Linked DNA regions of Xenopus tropicalis. The protein of the gene in region 1 interacts with the protein of each later gene in a pairwise test. Links are inferred from orthologs where the notes say so. Each region holds a gene or a part of one and is shown in the gene's direction. Other genes may lie near its edges. The genes, in order: eif1ad, stat1 and glyr1.

The links.
Region 2: the proteins of eif1ad (region 1) and stat1 interact in binary tests that used the Homo sapiens proteins (3 or more experiments, as listed by UniProt). The two-hybrid records come from large-scale screens. The link is inferred for Xenopus tropicalis from reciprocal best matches to the Homo sapiens genes EIF1AD and STAT1.
Region 3: the proteins of eif1ad (region 1) and glyr1 interact in binary tests that used the Homo sapiens proteins (3 or more experiments, as listed by UniProt). The two-hybrid records come from large-scale screens. The link is inferred for Xenopus tropicalis from reciprocal best matches to the Homo sapiens genes EIF1AD and GLYR1.

Annotation. Positions count from the first base shown.
Region 1 is NC_030680.2:38,881,707-38,889,429, reverse strand, and holds the start of eif1ad (probable RNA-binding protein EIF1AD), read left to right. Parts: upstream 1-3,795; 5' UTR 3,796-3,999; coding exon 4,000-4,086; intron 4,087-6,070; coding exon 6,071-6,179; intron 6,180-6,550; coding exon 6,551-6,659; intron 6,660-7,723.
Region 2 is NC_030685.2:43,530,745-43,538,418, reverse strand, and holds the start of stat1 (signal transducer and activator of transcription 1-alpha/beta), read left to right. Parts: upstream 1-3,613; 5' UTR 3,614-3,757; intron 3,758-7,674. UniProt on the Homo sapiens protein: Signal transducer and transcription activator that mediates cellular responses to interferons (IFNs), cytokine KITLG/SCF and other cytokines and other growth factors.
Region 3 is NC_030685.2:14,406,880-14,414,604, reverse strand, and holds the start of glyr1 (putative oxidoreductase GLYR1), read left to right. Parts: upstream 1-3,311; 5' UTR 3,312-3,353; coding exon 3,354-3,391; intron 3,392-7,725. Other genes in the region: ubn1 (ubinuclein-1), read right to left, coding at 1-28. UniProt on the Homo sapiens protein: Cytokine-like nuclear factor with chromatin gene reader activity involved in chromatin modification and regulation of gene expression. Acts as a nucleosome-destabilizing factor that is recruited to genes during transcriptional activation.

The DNA of each region.
Region 1 (7,723 bases):
AAATGTTTGTAATCATGTATGATTTTCGTTCCACTTCTCACATGTACACAACTTTGTATTGGTCTTTCACGTGGAATTCCAATAAAATTGATTCATGTTTGTGGCTGTAATGTGACAAAATGTGGAAAAGTTCAAGGGGGCCGAATATTTTTGCAAGCCACTGTATATATGGACATAACATGCAAATTTACACAGTATCTCTCTATCCTCTTTAATGTAAAAAAGGCACAAGGTTTGGGCAGGACATAACCCATAGCAACCAATAATGTGTTTTTTTAAAACAAGTAACCAATAAATACTACCTGTTACTGTCTGACCTCAACTTTCACCACCCTGTGTGCAAAGAAAATAAGTGACTGCATGCGTTTCCTCCAACACACACCCTAGTGTGTATAAATGTGCTAGGGAACTTAGATCGTAAACCCCACTGCGGAGGGACTGATACGAATGATGAATTATTTCTGTAAAGCCCTGCAGAAATGTGTGGGTGCCATATAAACAAAGAAAATGGATAAATAGTGCACATATATATCAGTCCCTGTCCCAGTGGAGCTTACAATCTAAGGTGCCTATCACATTAACAAACCAGGGTCAATTTTTATCAGGAGACATTTAACCTGTCTGTATTTTTTGGGAGTATAGCTAAGATTTCCACTTTTAATATGAAATAGGAGCAAGATTTTAAATATAGTACCTTAAATTACAATATAGGTGATTTTTTGTACAAAGAAATATTTTGGGGTATTTATATAGCAGAAAAACAACATGAACATTAATTAAACATTAATTTATATAATGCTACTACAAAGCTGTACTTCAGCACATCCCCAGCATTCATATTTATGTTTTATCTCTGTAGTATGAATTACAAAGGCAGTTATACATTCTGCAGTAGACAGAATGTATTCTTTCCAAGAATATAGTTTTCTGGGTTTAACTTAGATGACAGTCTATTTACACATCTACAACATGGTACACTGCAGAATGTTGTATCTGCAGGGGCCAAAGTATTACACATGTAAATCTACATGCACTACATTCATTTTGGTGTCCAGGGGGTTGAACTGGAGGATCCATGTGAGATTTTGGCTGTATGTTTCTAGATACTGCTAAAAGTCCACACAGCAGATGGTAAAAAATATTTACATATCTCTTTAAAGGGAAACTAAATTTGTATCTGTATAGAGCCCTGCAAGGTTCATATCATATAAAACAACCCAGGGGACCCAAATTGTTAGGCACTCTCCCAGGGACATAAATAATAAACACATTTACCTTGGGCCAGTGGTGCTCCTTTTAAGATTAAGTTCCAGACTGGGGGAAAACTTACGGTGCCCCATGCCATCTTACAGTATTTGAACACCATCCATGTTATTTTCCTTGGCTTGTGCATTTTTTTATTTCACAAAAGGAGCACCCACCAGGGAAAAAATTTTGCAATGAGACATACAGGGTAGGGCCGAATTGCAGAATTGACTTGAGGGCGAAGACACATGCAGCAATTAGTAGCTGTGACTTTTTAAAAAGCTGCAGCGACTAATTTGTACAGCGCATTCAGCCACAGCGACTTTTATAATATCCTATCCTATAATATTGCGGCGGTTAATTGCCCCGTGTGTCTTCATCCTAAACATTCTTCTAGAACCTACAATTCACCTTGTTTTCAATGCTATTTTCTGTTGTAAGAAGATCTTGCACAATGAGGGAACCATGGAGAAGCACCCTGCACAGTACAGGAGTCTGTTTTTTTTTTTTTTTCGTTTGCTTATTGCTGTCAGTTGATCAGTGAGTGACACAGGATATAACAAGTGGTGGCCTGAGGCAAAGGACATAAGACAGAATCATGTATAAACAAGGATGTGCCAAATTCAGGATTTGGCCAAATAGCAGCACTTTTTGGAGAATATGAAGTATATTTATCATGCTGTGTAAAAAGTGGAGTGAAGCATAACCAATCAGCAATCAGATTTCAACAGTTAGAAAACCAAAGCAAATCATCTGATTGGCTGCTATGAGCAACATCACCGCTAATGTTTCACTCCACTTTACATAGGATGGTAAATGTAAATTTTTTTTTTTTGTCTACAGACTATGCAAATTTTCTACTTGAATTTTATATTTAAATTAGAATTTGGATTTGATATCCAGGCAGATATTTTTGGAGAATGCGGTATTTGAATAAATTCCCCAAAATATTGTATTCAGTGCATCTCTATGTTTAAGCTGATTTGAAAAGATTATTTGATAAATTCCTTATTAAGGTGTAAATTATATTTTGCTTAAGGGCCGTGACACACGGGGAGATTAGTCGCGCCGCAACAAATCTCCCTGCAATGCCATCCCACCTGCTAGAATGTAAATCGCTGGTGGGATGGCAATGCGGGGACATTAGTCGCACACGACAACAGAATTTTGTCTCGGCGCGACTAATCTCCCAGTGTGTCACGGCCCTTATGGCAAAGTAACCCACCAAAATGAAAGTGTTTTAACATAATTAAAATAAAATGTATTGATGCCTGGTTTGTTTATTTTTGTAACACTGCTACAGTTTATATAAATAAGCTGCAGTGTAACCATGGGAACAACCATTCAAGGAGAAAAGGCACAGGTTACATAACAGATAACAAATAGGCTCTGTAGAGCACAATGGTGTTTTACAGAGCTTATCTCTTATCTACTATGTAACCTGTGCCATTTATCCCTATTACAATCTGAGCAGCTATTGCAGGGCAATAGCACATTATTGTTAAATTACTTTAAACACTTTTTTGGTGTTACTGTTTCCTTAACCTTTTATTTTATAGTTTATCTTTGTCTGGTTTATTAACAAACAGTGTTACCACTATAGTTGGTATATTATTGCTTATGCAATGGTACCCCTAAATGCATAGTGCCTGTGCCTAATTTCCACTGGCAGTCCCTCGTTTGGTTTTTCTGCTCCTGGGAGTGTTAGGAGTTAAATCTGATTACACAGAGGAGTTTCATTGATCCCATGTAGTGATGGCACTTCTAGCAAGATACAGACACCCAGCGAGGAATTGCAATGCAAAACATTTGACGGTGTCGGCTCCTATAGCTGCAACGTGTGCAACACAAATACCAGTTCGCTTTCGGTTTTAGTTGTGGGGAAGGAGGAATGGGCGCACTGCCGAACCTGAGTTATTTTATTACAATTCTCCTATCACTAACACTCAGTATTAACAAGTCATTATTACCGTTCCCTACCCTAATAGAATGCAGCGCTGCTACGCCGCGTATTGATCTCACGGCAGGTACGTTTGCCACTTCTTTAGCACCTAGTTCATGCCAAGTAGCTAAGCACTCATTTTATCGTTTAACCAACTCTGCTATTCACTTTATTCAAAATATAGCCCCAACCGATAAAAAATGAAATTAAACCCAGTGTGAAACATTACTCACTCTTTTCACGTCTTCCCGCCAACTGACCCGAAAGCTCAAAATCTTCTCCCCCACACCCACCGGAAGTGCTTATGCAGGACACACCTTACAACAGAAAATGTGATTCTAGAACCCGCCGGAAGTATGTTACGCGGTACACCCCCTGTGCAGGATTCGGCCATATTTGTACACCCAAGTAAAAAAAAAAGGCAATTGCGACGGAAGAGCAGCATTCGCCATCTTGGGACTCCTGCTTCTGTGACCTGTTGAACCCGGAAGTGAAAGACCTATGGTCGCCTCACGTTGATTTGAGCGAGCTAGATCATTAGTGAAAACTGGTTTCATCAGAGGAACTTTAGCATAAACTAGTTTAGATATTTCTAAATTGTATTGTTTGTTCCAGCTATTGGAGTACTTTATATCTTTTCGCAGTTTTCTTTATATTAGTTAATTGGGTTATAAAAGCGCTCCGACCTGTGACGCTGTGGTAGTAGTGCAATTACACATGGCATAGATGCTGAAGAGTCTCAGTTTTACCAGGCTTACATACACAGGCATCTTTTTATGGCTTTGTATCACTGAGATAAAATAATCACAACAATGTCAAAAGCCACAAAGCGTAAACATGTGGTTAAGGAGGTTCTTGGTGATTATGTGCAGCCCACTGAGCACCAGCGTATAGTTAAGGTGAGTGAATCCTTTACTCAGTGGTAGTCAAATTGCATTGGGGCCACCGTCTTAAGGGAAACTATTGGGATTAGTTACATTTAATATAAGCTTCTTCTGACTAAAATTACAAACTTCCTAAATTCAACCATTTAAACATTCTATATGGTGTCTGAAATAATGAACTATCCCCTCTCTCAGCATCTGCCTTTCTTAATACAGGAGTCTGGTTCAGATTCTGATTGACACTTGGGTCTAATACATCATATGGGGGTGCTCCATTTGCCAAGAAGATGTATTAGAGATTACTATTCCTGAGAAACCCAGTGACAAATCCTGTCTCTCTACATGCAAGATTTGTGCGGAGTCAGTTATTTGAGTGAGCTCTAATACATCTGCTAGGCAAGGGACCCCCCCCCCCCAAAAAAAGATGTATTTGACCACAACTGTCAATCAAAATCTCCGGTATGAAGAAATAATGTAACTATGTAAAGAATAACAAAAAATTGTTGCGCCTGTTCAGTGGCAATTCTAGCTTTTGTGCTGTTCCCACCCCTTTTAACTGCAGAGCAGGGTAGGGGAGGGCTTCATTGCTAGTGCAGATGAAAGAGAAAGAAATTTCTGATTAATTAATTGGCTTTTTCGCTCTTAAAGTTACTAGAAGCTGCAGGGCTCTGTCTGGTATGGTTCAAGACCATTACTATTGGTTAACATATATACTGCTGGCAACGCTTGTATTCCTTGTAGAGGTGACTCTTTGCCTTAATGTTTGCATGCTGCTACATACAATATCCTTAAAGTGATACGGACACCAGAAATAAAACCTTTTTTACATCTTTCATAACATTATCCTTGCATGAGCTTTATAATTTTGCCATAAATGTATTTCCTGAGGCTTTTACATTTCCTATCTGATCCCCCATGTTTCTCTGTGAGGGGGCGGCCATATTTGTGCAGCAGGAGTCCGTTAGCATTAGAAGCTATAACTGACAGGATGAGAAGGGACAGTCAGGTTGGCAAAACAGTCGGGTTTAGGAACTTCAAGTAACAATTACTCACAAAAGCAGCCCTAACAGTGAAAAATGATCAACATGACCCATAGGTAACTTTTTATGTAGATTCATATTTTAAAAAGTAGTTTTTTCGTGTCAGTATCACTTTAAATTCACATAAAAATGTTGCAATTATCACGTGGTGGGCAAAGTAATTAAAAAAGGCACCGTCTCTCTTGAGGTTCTCCAGTATTATGTATGGCTAATTATGGGTCACTGCAGGAATCTTTGTAGAAATAATTGTTTTTAAAGGGATAGTTGTTCATCTTCTGAAATAATGTCGTCGGAATTTTGTTTTTATATATTATATGGCTGGCCTGGAATGTAACAGAATTTGTAACATGGAATTGCATGTCTTTTATTTTTCCAAATTTAATGTAAACTGCATTCTGCACAGCCATAGGCATATAGGTTTTCATTCACCCTGGTCATGATATACAATATCTTTTGCTGATAAGTGAAATTACTTTGCATTACCTGATATAGAGATGAGGATAATTCCGTACAATGGCTTAAACTACCGCTCAGGATTAAAATTCAAACTACTAACAAAAAGCAGATCACAACTCATGCCCACCCTAAATCTCTGAACTAATGTCCTTCTTCTTACTAAACTGTTTATACCACTGTTCATATGATCTATTCATTTACCTCATGTAACATACACACACTTTGCTAGAGCTTACCCCACTTCTATAGCCATCCCCTTCTTCCATCACAATTTCCATCTTGGATTTTTCCCACCCTGTCACTGCCTTTAATCTGCCTGTCAATTCCTAGACTGAACTCTCAAAATATTTTAGTCTGTGAGTGTACATTAAACAGGAAACACAGTTAAATGTTATTTTATAATCATAATAAAAGTATTGTCTTTTCCAGCAGGAATAGTCCAGTAAATTAGGTATCCTTGTGGCGTAATTTTCATTTTGTAACCAAATCCTTAATTTTTCCAGGTTTTAGGAAGCCCGGGTAACAATCTCCATGAGGTTGAAACATCTGAAGGGGAACGATTTCTGGCTAGCATGCCAACAAAATTCAGGAAGAACATTTGGATAAAAAGAGGTAAATGTGGAGGCAAATCTGCTTTTTTTCTGTTCTTATTCCTATGTAAAACATATCATAATAATACATAGGTAAGAAGAATGCCAGCACTCCTTACCAGCACACCACGGGTCTCTCAACCTCCCGAACTGCACTTCCAGGCATTCAGCAAACTCAATATATCAATTTTCCTGGCTAAAAAAATGTAAAGCATAACAGCAGGGTTGGCATCACTTTGGGTCTCTTCACTAAGATCACCGACATAAAGACGCACAGTTAAATCCAGGTCTGGATCAGCTGCAACAGTGCATGTTCTTAGTGGTGAAGATCGCAGTGAAGTGGACCCAAAGCGCCACAAGGATAACGTTTTTAATCTTTTTCTTTTCCTTCAGGTGATTTTCTTATTGTTGATCCAATAGCCGAAGGAGAAAAGGTCAAAGCAGAAATAGCTTTCATCCTGTACAAGGATCACCAAAGACTTCTACAAAAGGAGGGGCTCTGGTAAGACTCCTTATAATCTGTAGAAGGCCTAATTTGTAAATCATGATTATTTATACTATACAGTAATTGATAGGTTACTTGAGTGTGTTGTATGTATATAATGGAGAAGCACTCGCACTAAAAAAATATATTGTCTGCATGAAAACAACAGTCTCTATGGAAACCTAGAGAAACAAGTCACTATGGCAATCTATCAACAATACACTGTGTATTGTTGATAGGTTGCCAAAAAGACTATTGTCTGGTGCCATTTTTCACCCATATGGGGGAGGGGCTTAATTCACTGTTTGTTATATTCCCTTTAAGAAAGTTCACAGTCAGTGACCAAAACATCGGGTTTGTAAACTAAATTAAAAAAACAAACAAACAAACCCTATTTTTGTTTGCACAAGACATATATAATTTGGCCATAATTATCTACACTGTGTTGGACTGGTTTGTTTCTGGAGTCAGCTTGGTCAGTTTTTTCCTGAAATGCTGTAAATATATATGTAAAATGCTGTATGTACAGGGTACATAGTGGCTCATCTGGAGGTAATGCAGTGCTCAAGATTAATTTCTTAGTTGCAGTTGTGTATTGGCATGTCTGAGATGAATGCAATTCTCTTAGTTCATTCTGAGTGGTCTTACTGGGGGGTGTGTGTAGAGAGAGAGAACATGACAGACAGAATTTCCAAACGAAATTAATTTGAGGGTGGCGCTTGCGAAGGGAGTTTTCTTCACAAAATACTATCTCTTCCACCAACTGGAGTGTGGGCTCTATTAGCTGGTGGTAAGGGAAACAATGTTTGCATGACAAGTACCCTTTCAGACACATAAAGAGGAAATAAAAATGCAGTTGAGCGGCCCATTAGTAAAAGGAAACAGTAGAGCTGTGTTTCTGTGCTCAGATGCTAACTTAGCCATTATAAGAGGGACTGTTTATTTAAAGTGCAGGCTGCCAGGCCATTTCTATACACAGGACTGGCTCTTACAGTAAGACAGTCTGGAGTCCAACACAAGGCTTTTCTAGTAAAGGTTTTGCATAGCTGTAGTGTTTTTCTCATGTTATTTATTAAATTTGT
Region 2 (7,674 bases), on another chromosome or scaffold:
TCCCCCCCCACCAAGATACAGGCAGCAGAAGAAATGTAGGAGAGAAGGGAAGTGACGTCAGACCAAGCTAAAATGGCAGCTGCTATCATAAACAAACAGAGGGAGTTTCTACGGTTTTTTACTCAGGCAAGGTATAGCATTCTACAGAATAAATATAGTGCTATTGTGACTAATCTATTGCCAATAAACTGCACCAGTAGCTTTCCCTCTCCTTTAAGTGCCACTTCTCCAGTGTAAACTGGTCTATATTTATATATAGGCACCAACCCCCAAATGCTGCCGTCCTAGGCACAGGCCTTCGGGTGCCCATATTATCTATCTATAATTTTCCCCACCCTTCCTTAGCCAGAAAGTTTCTGCAAGGGTGAGGGGGGAAGGATGTATGCGTGATATAACTACTGCTACTTGTACACACTGTTGGGAGTTATATGTGCACATTCAGTGCTGCATTTCGAATCCGGGAGCCCCTAGGCCGCCCCTCATTTGCGCCCTCCACCCCAGCGCATGCGCGAACAAACATCTCTCTCTCTACCCCAGCCGCACCGACACAAGCACGCATGCGCGGGCATTTAAACTCCCATACGGAGCAGTGGGGAGAAGTCCCCATTGCTCCGTATGGGAGCAAAATGTCGAAATTTTGTTGCGGCAAAATTTATGCCGCCCTACGCCCGGGCCTTTGTGGCTTCGACACAAATCCGGGCCTGTGCACATTCTGTATGACATAACTTTCCCACTCTGGGGTGGGGGCACATTTAGGTCCAGGGAGGCCCCAGACCTAAACATTCCCCAATTTGGCCAGAGACTTTCCATCCCCTCAATCAGCTTTGTTGCTTTTGTTGGACTCTTTCTAATTCTATCCTTATTGACCTTTGCAGCTGCTGAGTGGGATTGCATGCTACAGCCATGTTTATTGTCCACAAGTGCATCTTGGAGTACTCTTTATCAAAGATTTGCCTAACGTATTTTCATAAAGGGTATAAGTGGCTTGCATATTCTTACATCCCTGTTGCATAACCTTACATTAATCTCATCTGTCACTTAGCTGTCAGTGCCAGTTTGTTCAGATCCTCTTGCAAAGATGCAACATCCTGTATGGAATTTATTGACCTGCACAGTTTTGTGTCATCTGCAAGCACCTATATATTACTGCTAATGCCCACCCCCCCCCAAAAACATTATTATTATAACATATATAAAGCCCCTCAAACATTATAAGTGCCAACATATTCCGTTGTGCTGTACAATAAATGGGTATATACATTCAACATACATGAATCATCTCTACTAATGATACATAATTAACAAACAGGGTGAATATTTTGCAGAAGCCACAGTCAGCCATATATTATGGGGTCTGTACATACCACATACTTAGGTAAATATATGCATATTGGGCAACAAACTCATATTTATGATCTTTGTACATAAGGAACTGTAGGAGAAATATGGTTTACAGGGGTCTGCATACTAGGGGGCATATATGACACATAAAAGACCCCTGGTATTCATATTAATATGTCTAATCTTAGGGGCAGATTTACTAATGCACGAATCCGAATGGGAAAAAAATGGATTGGAAACGAACATTTTGCCACTTTTTCGTACTTTTTGCGATTTTTTTCGTCGCCGTCGCAACTTTTTTTGTGAATTGTCGCGACTTTTTTGTAGCCATTACGACTTTCGCGAATTGTCACGACTTTTTCATATTGAGCGGCGCGACGGCGACAAAAAAGTTGCGACAATTCACGAAAAAATCGTGACGGTGACGAAAATGTTGCGATAATTCGCGAAAAAAGTCACAACGACGTTGAAAAAAATCAAAGATCAGATCATTACGAAAAATCGCATTCGGACGCTTTCGGCCCGTTTGTGTATTAGTAAATGTGCCCCCTAGTATACAAGGCTGGTGGCAAACGGGGAGATTAGATGCATGCAATAAATCTTCGCTACCGCAGGTGCCTAATCTCCCCCAAAGTGTCTTCCTGTCAGCAAGAATGTGAATTGCTGGTGGCATGGCATACACATAGCTTCGGTTTTCCAAAGTCGCCCATAGTTTCCTCATGAGGTAATGCATGTGCCATCGCCCGTGGTAGTAAAGATTTATCTAATCTTCCCGTGTGCCAGCAGCATAAGGATATGTGACTGATAAGTTACTGCAAAATGGAAGGTGGTTTTTAAAAATGTTATCAAAGCTTTAATGTTTGGAGTAAAAAGATATAGAATTCATTTTAGATTTGGGAGAATGATTTTTGCACCTAGTGAGAATGTCTTTTGAGACTTTTATGTGAGAATATTTTTTCACCACACATAAAAGTCAGTAAATGTCTTGATTTTGCAGTAGTTATAATGACTGCAATATTTTTTATTTTGGGGCATATATTGATACCTATATGGTAAATACAGCTCTTTTTATGATGTACATTTATTGAGTAGATCAAAATAAGTAAATGTATAAATATCATATACATATATATATGTAGGGACCCATAGGGTTAAGCTCCCTATGGCTTTATCCTCTACCTCTTCACACCTCTATTGTTATTGGGCAGAGCCCCTGTACTTAAGTTACTGTTCTAACACTATTCCCTATAGATTTAGTCAGGTTGACCACTCCCCCTGCAGACTGAAATAGCGTCTAGCAGGGAGGAGTGGCTTCCTCTTTGGCTGCCTGTCTGCTACCTAAGCACAGCTCCTTCTGAGCCTGGGTGCTGCAACAGGCCCCAGTAAGCCACCTTAGTCCAAAGAACACCTTACTAATTGTATAAGTCAGGGACAGGGCCCTGTGAATGAGGATAAGTAAGCACAGCAGATTTATTTAATAGCACTCTCTAGTAGAAGTGAGCATAGTCAGCTCTAGCTAGAAAGGGCCATTAGCCTACCAAAGGAATGATTAGATCCAGGAGTATTTCTCCTATCCGGCAATGTTGTCTCAGTGCAGGGCTCTAGGAGGACTCAATCCACTAGAGGTTATCAACCTGAAGGAGTTCCTACTACTTGCACTATCTCTCAAGGGGTACTGGTTGAAAGGTGTATATCCCGGCCCAGACTCTACCAAGAGGTGGGGTAAACCGGTGTACACTCTCTCTTCTACAAAAGAGAAATCCCTCATTGTACCATTTCAATCTGCATGTCTGTGAGTATGATAACCCTGCATAACATCTGTGTCTTTGACCAATAAATCTGTATTATAGTTCACCAGCAAGAACCTTTCTGCGTCCATTTATACCATCTACACTACACAGCATCAGAAAGTTGTAGTTCAACTACACCCTCAGCTCCTATCTTACATCTCCCACATAGCAGAGGCCCATGCCGAAGAATTAAGGGTCACATGTAACACATGCTCTATATTACACTACAAGCCTGGGTTGGCCTAATCTAAGACAAAATAGTGTTACATATAATACATATAAGAAGAAAAGTTCTGAAAAAGTAAACTGTAAAAAGTAGCCTGTTTGCTACAGCAAGATTAAATGTGCACAAATTAATCGTTTCGGTGCCCTTTAAGAAGTGTCCGCATCAAAGCAGAGGGAGGCAATCCAACTTAAAGTAACAGCCAGCAAACAATTTTATGATTTGCTGAAGTCAAGATTTAGAGGCGGGGATAGCTTGCAGTCTAGGAAGTAAGGGCTGTACCCTCATTTCTTCTTTCGGTTTTGTGTGTGTGAGTTGGTGATTCTAGAGGTATCCGGAATCAAAGTAAATTTCAAGACGTTTTATTTTGCTTTCTTGAGCTTATTATACAGGACGGCGTCAGGTACGTTGAAAGAGAGACATTTTACTCCACTGTACGGCGCCCATTTTAGGACATCATCGGTATAAACGCTTCTGCTAATGATTCTGTTTTTATAACTGTGCCTGTCTGGGCAACCCCATTGCTCTTTTGGTCTATTATATACTCATCACTATACTGCAGCATATATTATATAATTTTCGTAATTGTGTGCATCATTCTGCCTCTGCTAACATTTGCCCAGTTTTGATTAATAAGCCGACTGGATCATTCTGTATTTGGTCTACTTGGTTATAAACTCCAGTGTGCACAGCCCATGTTTAATCTGCTTTATGCTGAGTAATCCTGCCCATTTGTGAATCCTTGTGTACAGCTGGTGTATCACTTACCACAGTGACTTTTGTTTTTTGGAAACCCCTATTTTAATTTACATTGGTTTGTGAGCACTCTAAAGGCTGTCATGTACTGTTAAGTTGAGCTGCAAATCTGCACTGCTATTGTTTAATATTTGCCACTACTTAGCCAAGCAAATTTTATTTGCACAATTCATCTAAAAAAAAAAATCTACACAACATGTCTGTGGGTTTAATTAACTTGAATGTATTCCAATACCACTGGGTGACAAATTTATCCTGTATTTTTCAGTCTCAACTCTGATCTCTGAGTTTTTTGACAGACATTTCTATTTGAATATAAGACAGAATAACCCTTTTTCCCAGTGCAAACTTTAGAACACCCTAGAAATAACAAGCGCTCTAATGGCCTATTGCCTTAGGGTTGTCTTTGATTTTACCCTCTCCTTCAGTTGTCATATCCAATTAATAACTAAATCATGTCATGTTCACTTACAGAATAAAATATCGCTATCAAAAATGATGCCAGCATGACCATTCCTGCCATAAGACGGGAGTGTGCAACAGTTTACCAGGGGTGGCAAAAGAAGGCCCCTAACAATTAATTTTTAAATTCAGCTCTTCTAGTGCAAATAGACCGTTCCACTCCCTGTATTAGAGATACTGCTCCTCATAAATTAAGAATATATATTATTTTACAATTTAAAGTTTATAGCTGTTCATTTATTACCTACGAATATTCTATTTACTGGCAATGATTGCCCTATTTTATGATTTCATTTGACACGTGTAAGAACCAAACCTATTGTAATTTATGCATCTGTTCTTAGCTTGTTGTATAAACTGTTATTGGTGTATGTGAAGCAGTTGCACTGTAAAAATACATTGAATAGTCGGGTTTCCCCAGAGAACACGGTTTCCAGAAGGGCTGTCTGGGCCAAAACTCTCTGCCCGGTTTTCCTAATTTGGTAAACTGGGCAGGACTTTCCTAGATTAACATGGACCTGTATGTGCTGAAAAACGAACCCTCGGCTTATACTCGAGTATAAGGATTCGAGGCTGAACAAGTTTGTTTTACGGGGCACCCCTCTTCCCTCCCCGCGGCTGGACAGAGGGCTGGACGGGCGTGCGTGCACGAACCAACGCACGCATGCATGTGCACACAACAATATTTTGGGCATGTACAAATGCGTACGCAGAAAGGGTGTTGGGTGATAAGGAGAGAAACAAAGGAAGGGGGCACAGATAAGAAGGCAATCTGGGAACTACAAATCCCAGATTTATTAAATTATACATTACCCTATATCACTACCACCTGCTCTATGGCTGCTAGCTAAGTAAAGTCAAAAGGATAAATCACCATTGTGGTCATTTGGAGCATGTTGGGAATTGTAGTTCTTTGTACAATAATATTACAATGAGTGCATCACTATATACAGATTCTGTACATGAGCCGTTTATTTATCTGGATGTCAGCTGACCCCCTCGGATCACTGTTGTGCCCTACAGAGAGTGTTCTGAATGTTCTGGTTGGGCCTTGGCCGGTACGCATTGCACTATGGGAGTGCATGGGAATTATGGGAAACAACCTTGTGCAGATATGGAAAGCTCAGTCAGTGGGTCCCTAGGCAGGTATTGTATACTTACAGGCCTGGACTGGCAATCTCTGGGTTCTGGCAAATGCCAGAGGGGCTGATGTAAGATGCCACAGACAGTCACTATTTATTGGGCTGGGGGGCTTTTTGGGCCCCTGTGTACTTGAAATGCCAGGGCCTATTTCGAATCCCAGTCCAGGCCTGCCTACCTACCTGCTACTGGTGGCCTATACTAGCTTGTTTGCCGGTGGCTACTGACAATAAAATATAAGGAAGAGACACGACTTTTCCCTTTGCTAATGGAGTTCTTGAAGCTGGAAACGGAACCTTTATATTATACGCCATGGCGCAGGCTTCTAGGGGGCAGAACAAGATGGTGGAATGTATTGTTGACTTTTTAGCGGTAAATATCCAGGGTGCCTACCCCAGAGTTACTAGGGTTGGTTCACCAATGAGTGTCCAGGGTGTCCAGGGCCTACCTAGGCTTATACTCGAGTCAATAAGTTTTTCCAGTTTTCTTAGGTAAAATTAGGTAATTAAAATGGAGGGTATGGGAGACGGGCTTTCTGTAATTCGGAGCTTTCTGGATAACTGGTTTCCGGATAAGGGATTCCATACCTGTAATTGGATAGAGAACTGACTGAAGGATAGATTGCAGAGAGTGCTGTTAAATTGAACATTTTCCAATTGGACCAGTGTTGTTAGTGGAGTACCGCAGGGGTCTGTCTTTGGTCTTTGCTTTTTAACTTGTTTAATAATAACCTGGAGGTGTGTATTACTACTATACTACGTATTATATATTTTATTATGATACTAAATTGTGCAAAACTATAAGTTTCATGCAGGCTGCTGCCATGTTTTTCCTAACAGGAAGAACATCAGATCAGCCCTCTCTTCTTTCTTTTTTTTTTTTTTTTAAAGGTTGATTTTTATTGTTTTTTTAACAACAATAGAATAGGGTAGAAAAGGAGAGGGAAGAAAGGAAAGGAAGAGATTGGAGAGTAAACAGTCATTGTACTGTTGTGGCTGGTGAGTCTGTCCAAGGAGACCAAATGTTCTCAAATTTCGCCGGACAACCTCTAACGAGGTAGGTAAGTTTATACAGTTTTAATTGCGGAGCGATGGGGGTGTCCGGCCCATCCAGCTCAGAGCGATGGTTCTTTTGGCATAAAAAAGTAGTAGTCTCATAGTAGTAGTAGCTTTGTATTCCTTCTAGGTATCGGAGTGTCCAGGAGGCCCAGTATACAGGTAGCCGGGTTGAGTACTGGTTGAGTTCCAGTTCTGTTCCCATAAATTCTGTGACCTTGCCCCAGAATTTTTGTATTTCAGGGCAGTCCCATATTAGGTGCATGAAGTTGACCATATGCTTTGCATCTTTGGCAGTTAGAGGAGTCAGTTTTCCCCATATTGTGTAGCTTTTGTGGGGTGAGGTAAGTCTGATGTATAATTTTAAATTGTATAAGTCTGTCTCTTTTGCTTATTAGGGGCTGGTATAAATTGTCCGTGATTTCTTCCCAGTCATCGGGATTTAGATGTATCCCAGAGGTCTCCCACTTAAGCTTTGCCCTAGGCCGTGGGTCATATCTCTTAGTGATTAAGAGCTTGTAGGTGTTTGAGAGTAGTTTAGTTTTGCTTGGTTGTATTATCAAGTGTTCTAGGTCTAAGTACTGTGTCTGTGGCGGTTGTTGGAACTGTATTCCACAGACGCGCGTAATCTGTACATATCTGAGGTCTGACAGGCCAGGTCGGGAGGCAATTTGTTGAAGCAGAGGGAGTGTGTGCAGTTCACCATTAGAGTAAAGGTGGTCAAAGCGCTTTATCTCTACTCCGGCCCAGGATCCTGCTTCCAGGAAAGATGCGGTAGGTTACTATTCTCCCATAGTGGGGTATCAGGGGAGATTGCTCCTGCTTAATTGGTTACATGATTTAAAGGCATTGCTGACACACTGGTGTGCTTCTTCCCCTCTGCAAAGATATATGTAAAAAATTAAAT
Region 3 (7,725 bases), on another chromosome or scaffold:
TCAACTGCATACGACGGGGTTCGGCCATTGCCCCCCCCCAAATTATATATACAGATTTCAGTTGTATACAGCCATGACCTCAACAAAGGTGACACACCAAGCAGAGAAAATGACTAACGAAAAGAAAAATTGCTCTTTAGTGAGACCCTCTATGGATCAGACGTGAGTCATGATACGGTGAAGTCTGCTCGACTGCCTCTACCCTGCAGCTTTAAGGGACAATGTGAGGGTGACAAACAGCTTCCAACCCATCTGCATCGCTGCCGGTGTGTCCTGTAAAACATAAACAAGAAGGAAAAGATGAGCTTTGAAATCAATGATACCATTGGTACTGTAGAAACTGTATGTCTGTGTACGGCCATTTTTTTAGTTAGTCACCATGGTGGCCCTACATGACTCCCCAACAGCAAACATGATTGGAGGGAGAGGTAACATACACTGATACATATATCTTACACTGGTAAGATATAGAAATCAGTCAAGCCAGGCACCAGAAGATCATTAATGATACCATGCCAGGGTGCACAGGGATTGGTTTGCTGCTGAACACTTAAGCAACAAGGTTGTTGAGGTTCCAGTACGGTCTCGACCTGACTTGATAGTAAGGCTGAAACGCCAATAAGAAGAGGAGGAACCCCAAAGGGTATTTGCTCATGTGCTGTGCCCCAAAGTCCCATCCACTGTTCAATAATGACACTTAATAAATGGAAAAGTTGTGCCACAACCACAAACCAATGAAACAAAGGCAGTGGTGCTGAATTGCCTCCAGAGAAGTGACCAAAAGCAGCCAATCAGATATTTGAATTCACTTTATAATTTAAGCACACTGATTGGTTGTTAGGGGTATCTGGTACTGCGCACTGATGTGCATGCAGGCAAATCATTTTGTACTTATTCTGATATACGCCCACCAGTTTTATTTTAATGTGCACACGTGGTTTTAAAGGGGAAGTCCACCCAAACACAACTAAAGGCGGCCATACACAGGCTGATTGTAGCTGCCGATATCAGTCCCTTGGACCGATTCGGCAGCTTATTGGCCCGTATAGAGGCACAAACGACGGGTCTGCCCGACCCACATCTGGCCCGAAATCGGGCAGATATCGATCAGGCAGGTTAAAAAATTTAGTCGGATCGGGGACCGCATCAGCTCGTTGATTCGGTCCCAGAACCGACTGCGTCTATTACTGGTGTTCTCATTAAATTGGCCCTGGGGCCAAACAACCGAATTAGCATGAATTCACCCGATATCCCCCACCTCGGGAGAAGATCCGCTCGCTTGGCGACCTTACCAGGCAATCGGATCTTACCGTGTATGGCAACCCTTAAGCTTTTTGAAAAGTAAACATAATTTCAAGCAACTTTGCAATATCCAGCACTGGTTTGGATCCCATAAACCCCGCCCTCTGTTCCCCTGCTGATCCGACTACTTTGAGACTCAAATAAATAAACAAATAAACATTAGTCGCCTGTCCTCAGCCTGCATCCTCCCAATCCCACAATTCCCTGCACATGTGATATCAATGCGGAAAGGAACACAATACAATGCATTGTAGGTTATATAGTTCCTACATGCTGTTTGTAAAGCTGGCCATACACGCACCGATACTATCGTACGAAACCTCGTTTCGTACGATATTCGGTGCGTGTATGGCATGTCGGTGAGTCGACCGATATCGCGGGAAGCTGCTGATATCGGACGACTCGCCGATCGGCCAGGTTAGAAAATTTTGTTCGGGCGCCATAGAAAGCGCCTGACCAAAATCTGCCGTCAGGGCTGAATCGGCAGAAGGAGGTAGAAATCCTATTGTTTCTACCTCCTTATCTGCTGTTTCAGCCCTGACGGTGTGTGGCGGATCTGACAATGTTTCGTGCGACCATCGCCACGTGTATGGCCAGCTTAAGCGGTGGAGAAGTTGTTATAATTTGTAACATCAGTGTTTTAGTCCCTCCTCCCCTGCCAGGATTTCAAATGATGCACAAGAAAAGAATTGTTTACTGTTTTTTTACACAGCAGGTGCAAATGATACTGCTCCATAGGATAAAAGGGAATCAATGGTGCCAGCACTTGATAGGCAGCAACTTGGATGTTTTGCGGCATGGAAAAGGTTAATATTCCCAAATGCCGCTAGATGAAGACATTTGAGGGCTCTGACAGTTTGATGATCACTGGTTAGAACCTCACTTAAAAATATACTGTGGCGTGCGTTGTAGGCATAACTTACCCTTTAAAAGAAAAAAAGACAAATAACAATGCCAGGAAGACCAGTATTTATCCCCCCCCCCCCCTCCAAGGTCAAACCTGTAGAAAGCCCCCTTTGTGTTTAATACGAAAATAAAGGCCTTGAGCCTCACCAACATATTGGGAGTATATATTAAATAAAAAATCAGCATGTGGGCGAAGGTTATGGGACTTCTTTGTGGTACTGGCGCATTAAAGTCTCAGTGCCAACCTACAGTATGAAAAGCAAAACGTGTGGAGGTAAAAAAAACCCTCTCAAAATAACAAGACTTAAGTCTATTTAATTCGGTTCACTTGACTATAGTCTGGTAATGTGCTTTATTGCGTGAAAACAATACTAGAAATGCATGGGGCTGTGCTGGAATTTGACACTACGCAGTTTGCCCGCCAAAAACAAAGCAAAACACAATTGGCACAACCGCGTATAAGGCGTAAGTGACACATCTGACAAGCGAACACCTGGTTTTATAGCCACGGGTCGCGCCACTGCACACAGAGGGGGCGGGAAGATTCCATTGCGGCTGAAGAGAAAGTACCCGGAAGTGCTTCTAAACAACACCATAAACTGACGTGTTTATAAAGAGGAACTCAACTTCCGTACCCAACAGTCCCCACCCACTCACCGCGGCGCTCCCCAGTCCGGAGACCCCGTACTTGGAGAAGGGTTGACAGCCGTGGAAAGCAACGTCACCGGCAGCAGCGGCGGCGGCGTCACGTGGTCTGTAGAAGCCAGCGAGCTAGCGCCTCCTTAGTCACATGACCTCCCACGGCGGCGCCGTCGACAACAACAACAAGCATTGACAGAGAGCGAAGCGCCTCACGTGACTTCAATAGCGAATAGGAGACGGTTTTGGTGTACGGGCGCGCTTCCGCAGACACGCTGGGCGTGGCTAACACTGACGTCTGTCCAATCATTGGTTGGGCTTCATCGATATTTTTTTTTACGCTGCTCATTGGCTCGCCGCGGTGGGAGGAACAGGGTGGGTATTCGTCGCAGCTTGGGGAGCCGCGCACGGCGTTTGGGTGGGAGGGAGCGTTTCCTGTTCCCAGCATCCTCCGCGCAGCTAATTTTTTTTCCTACCCCTTCCCCGCTGCTGGCTGTGTCGGTAAGATGGCGGCAGTGAGCCTGCGACAAGGAGATTTGGTGTGGTGAGTGTTGCTGTGGGAATGGTTGTAGGGCAGGGCAGGCCGCGCAGGCCTTGAGTGCGCAGCTCTGTATACAAATGGGGAAGGACAGGCAGTGCCTGAGTTGAAAGGGCTGCCTGTGTCGCCTCACTCCCTGCTCCTTGGGGCTGGGACTTCAGCTGCTTCATCAACAAAGAACCGAGAAATTAAGTATGAGGGAGGGCGATTGTGCTGCCAAGCTGCTGAGAGACACACACAATGGCTGCTTAATGGCAGATACACACACAACTTTCCCTACTACTCAGCATTCTGGGAGTTGTAGTTCTGTTGGTAGTGAAGATTTCCTCTTACTGACATGGAGATGACAGTAAAGGGATAATAGCCTTAAATTTAACTTTTACACTCATGTGATTGTTTAAATACGTTCGTAAGGGGTCTTCTATTCTTTTTTTGTGTGTTTTTTTTTTAATGGTCATTTTTCGCCTGCAGTTTGGAATTGGAGTTGTGTTGCTTTTTGGTTGCTAAGGTCCATATACTATAGCAACCACTTTAAATGAGTGACCTCACAGGGTAGCCCTTTGCTGGTGTGCAGGGAAAAAGGTTAATTTATATTATTGCCCCGTAAACCTACAGCTATCGGTCAGATCATTGCAATAGTTTTAAAACTATATATTCTTCTAATGCATTATTCCATGTATTATGGTGTTCCTGTATTTGCACTGAGCAATTTTTAGCAATTTTTTTCTACTTATTATTTAAATCTTTGTTGTCTTTTTTTTTTGCCTAAAATATTCTGGGAAATGGATGTATGATCTATTTAGTTTTATTATTTGTATCCTGTGTTTACAGACTGTTGAAGGACAAGGGAAGGCTGAATCACTGGTGCTGTTGGCACCCCTCTGATTGCTTCAGTTTACTTGCGACCCTAGGGTCCATTTTGTTCCGGTGTCCCAGCATCCCCTGCTCCGTCCTGGCAGTAACAGGGTGAGAACCCTTCCTTGGGCAGCGGCTCCCTGCAAGTTACCAGGGGGCACAAAGCCAGTTAGTAAAATGATAATAAGCTCTTCTGGTGCACAGAGCACAATAGTACTTTCTGCACTAGCAGTACGGCCCCCTTGGGTCTTTGCCACTGGAACCTTTCTTTCTCCTGAATCCAATTCTCTCATTTTACTGAATAACTAGTCCAACACTGTTCTTATTATTGCCAAGCACCGAAACTCAAAATTAGTTTAAAGGAACAGTAACACCAAAAAAAGAGCTAAAAGAGTAATACAAATATAATGCACTGGTACAGCTGGTGTGTTTGCTACAGTAACCCTACTATAATTTATATAATAAGCTGCTGTGTAGCCCCGGGGGCAGCCATTCCTGCACTGGTAAAATTGGTGTGTTTGCTACAGTAACCCTACTATAATTTATATAATAAGCTGCTGTGTAGCCATGGGGGCAGCCATTCAAGTTGGAAAAAAGGAGAAAAGGCACAGGTTACATAGCAGATAACAGATAAGCTCTGTAGAATACAATAGTGTTTTATCTGTTATCTGCTAAGTGCCTGAGCCTTTTTTCCTATGAATGGCTGCCTCCATGGCTACATAGCAGCTTATTTATATAAATTATAGTAGACTTTCTGAAGTAAACACACAACTTTTACCAGTGCAGGGCAGCAGCACATTATATTTTAGTTAGTTTTATACACTTTCATTTTTTGGTGTTACTGTTCCTTTAAGGTATTATGTCAGATATATATTGTATAATTGTTAACCCCCCCACATTTTTATATTGCCTAGAGCTCCATTTTGCAGCAGTATCGGCCCTAAACTCTTATGGTGGCCATACACGGGCTGATTCGGCAGCTTATTGGCCTGTGTATGGGCACAAACGATGGGCCTGCCCGGCTGATATCTGGCCTGAAATCAGCCAGCTATCGATCGGGCAGGTTTAAAAATTTAGTCGGATCCGGGACTGCATTGGCTCATTGATGCGGTCCCCGAACCAACTGCGTCTACTCCTGTCATTCTAATTTGATCGTATTGACCAAATTAGCCCGATATCGGGAGAAGATCCGCTCGCTCCGAGACCTCGCCAAGTGAGCGGATCTTAGCGTGTATGGCCACCTATAGGCTGAGTCCATACCAACTTTGCAGGGGGGATTTTGGTCCATTCTTCCAAACAGATTTTTCTCCAGGAACGTCAGGTTTGTTGGATGATGCTTTTCCTCAATTAGCAAATTCTGCCGTTGATTCTGAACTGAGATCTGGGCCAGTGCAGGACATTTCTCTCTTGAGTCGCTTCAGTGTTAATGATTGGGATCATTGTTCTGCTAAATAATGACTATACGGCCAAACTTCTGCTTTTTTAGCCAGAAGAGTTTTTCCCTCTGTATTTTGCACCATTTATTCTTCAGTTTGATGAAAACATGATGTTTCCAACACCGTTCCTCAATGTCGGCAGTATTTTATTTGCACCATGTGAAATTGATCTTTAGCCAAAAATTCCTGTCTTGGTCTCATCTGAACAGACATTCGTGTCCTACATGGCAACAAGGTCATTCTGCATGGCAGAGTCCCGATGTTCTTTCTTCTTGTCCTTTTTTAGTAAGGGCTTCTTTTGTGCCCCACTCGCATACAGGGAAGTATCTGAAGTCTGTGAAGGTAGAACAGCATCCTTGTAAACAGAAGAAAGAATGGATAGTGAAAAGGGCAGGGAAATATTGCTATAGATTGGGCAGAGGTGTATCTTTCAGCTGGAGTATAATCCAAAGCTCTAATTTGGGTTCAGTTGAGAATTGAGGTGCATCATCCGACTATCCTGAACAACACTGGTTTCTGCCAGTCGGTCATGCAGATTTTCTAAATCATGAGCAATGTCCAATGCTGCAGATTTTGAGCTTTGCTTTGAGTTGTTCACCTAAAAGTTAACTTTTTTAGCGTGCTGTAATCAGTTCTATGCCCCAGTTAGGAATTTTAGCAACTATATGGTTCAAATTACTTGACTGACTACAAAGATAAGAAATAAAAAGTAACAAAAACAACAAAATTGTAGCCTCAAAGAGCAATAGGTTTTGGCTGCCGGGGTCAATGACTCCCTTTTGATATCTGGAAAGAGTCAGAAATGGAAACCAAATAAGAAAAGAAAAAAAGACTAAAAAGTAAAAACCAACTGAAAGTTGTATCTATAACATTATAAAAGTTAGTGTAAAGGTGAACCACCCCCTTAATATGAAGACTTATGCAAACAGCATATTCTATTACTACTATTTTTTTTTTTTTTTTTTAAGGACATAGATATCCTTATCTTGAATGCTGGCCACTAGATAGGGCACATAAAAATAATGTGTCTCCATTTAAGAAGCAGTTCCAGTGCACACTCTTTCCCCAGCAACTGTGAGGGGGAAGACACACAGAGCTACTAGTAGCAGCTACTTGTCACAGCTACTAAAATAGACAATGCTGATCTTTTTCTGATAATTGTCTCTGTGTGTTTTAGCAGAGGCAATTCTCAGTATTGTCTATGCAGGGTATTTTCTGACGTTTAGTATCTGCTACTAAGTAGCTCTGTGTGTCTTCCCCCTCACAGTTGCTGGGGAAAGTAGCAGCTTTCAGACAGTTGGAGCACTTGGGCAGTACAACCTTAATGCAGATAATGCCCTGGTTGGAATACTAATAATTTATCAGCGTGGACTGTTCCATGTGTTAGCAGTCAGGTTGGGCTCTCTGGTTGTCAGTAGCCCAATATCATTGATATGGAACCTTGTGTAGTGCGAGAGTTATAAGTGGCCCTTAGCTTTTTCCTGTGTATGATATGTCTTAAAGAGATACTGACACCAGAAATGAAACCTAATTTTACATCTATCATAACATCGTCTTTGCATGCTATTTATAATTTTGCCATAAAAGTACAGGTATGGGACCTGTTATTCAGAATGCTCGGGACCTGGGGTTTTCCGGATAATTTGGATCTCCTACCTTAAGTTTAAGCTAAAAAAATTATTTAAACTGTAATTAAATCCCAATAGGATTTTTTTGGCTCCAATAATATTTAATTACATCTTAATTGGGATCAAGTACAGGTACGGTTTTATTATTACAGAGAAAAGGGAATCATTTAACCATTAAATAAACCCAATAGGGCTGTTCTGCCCCAATAAGGGGTAATTATATCTTAGTTGGGATCAAGTACAGGTACTGTTTTATTATTACAGAGAAAAGGGAATCATTTAGGGCTCTGGCACACGGGGGAGATTAGTCGCCCGCGATTAACTCCCTGTTCGCGGGCGACTAATCTCCCCGAGTTGCCTACCCCTGCCATCCCACCGGCGAACATGTAAGTCGCCGGCGGGATGGCAGACGCGGCGGGGC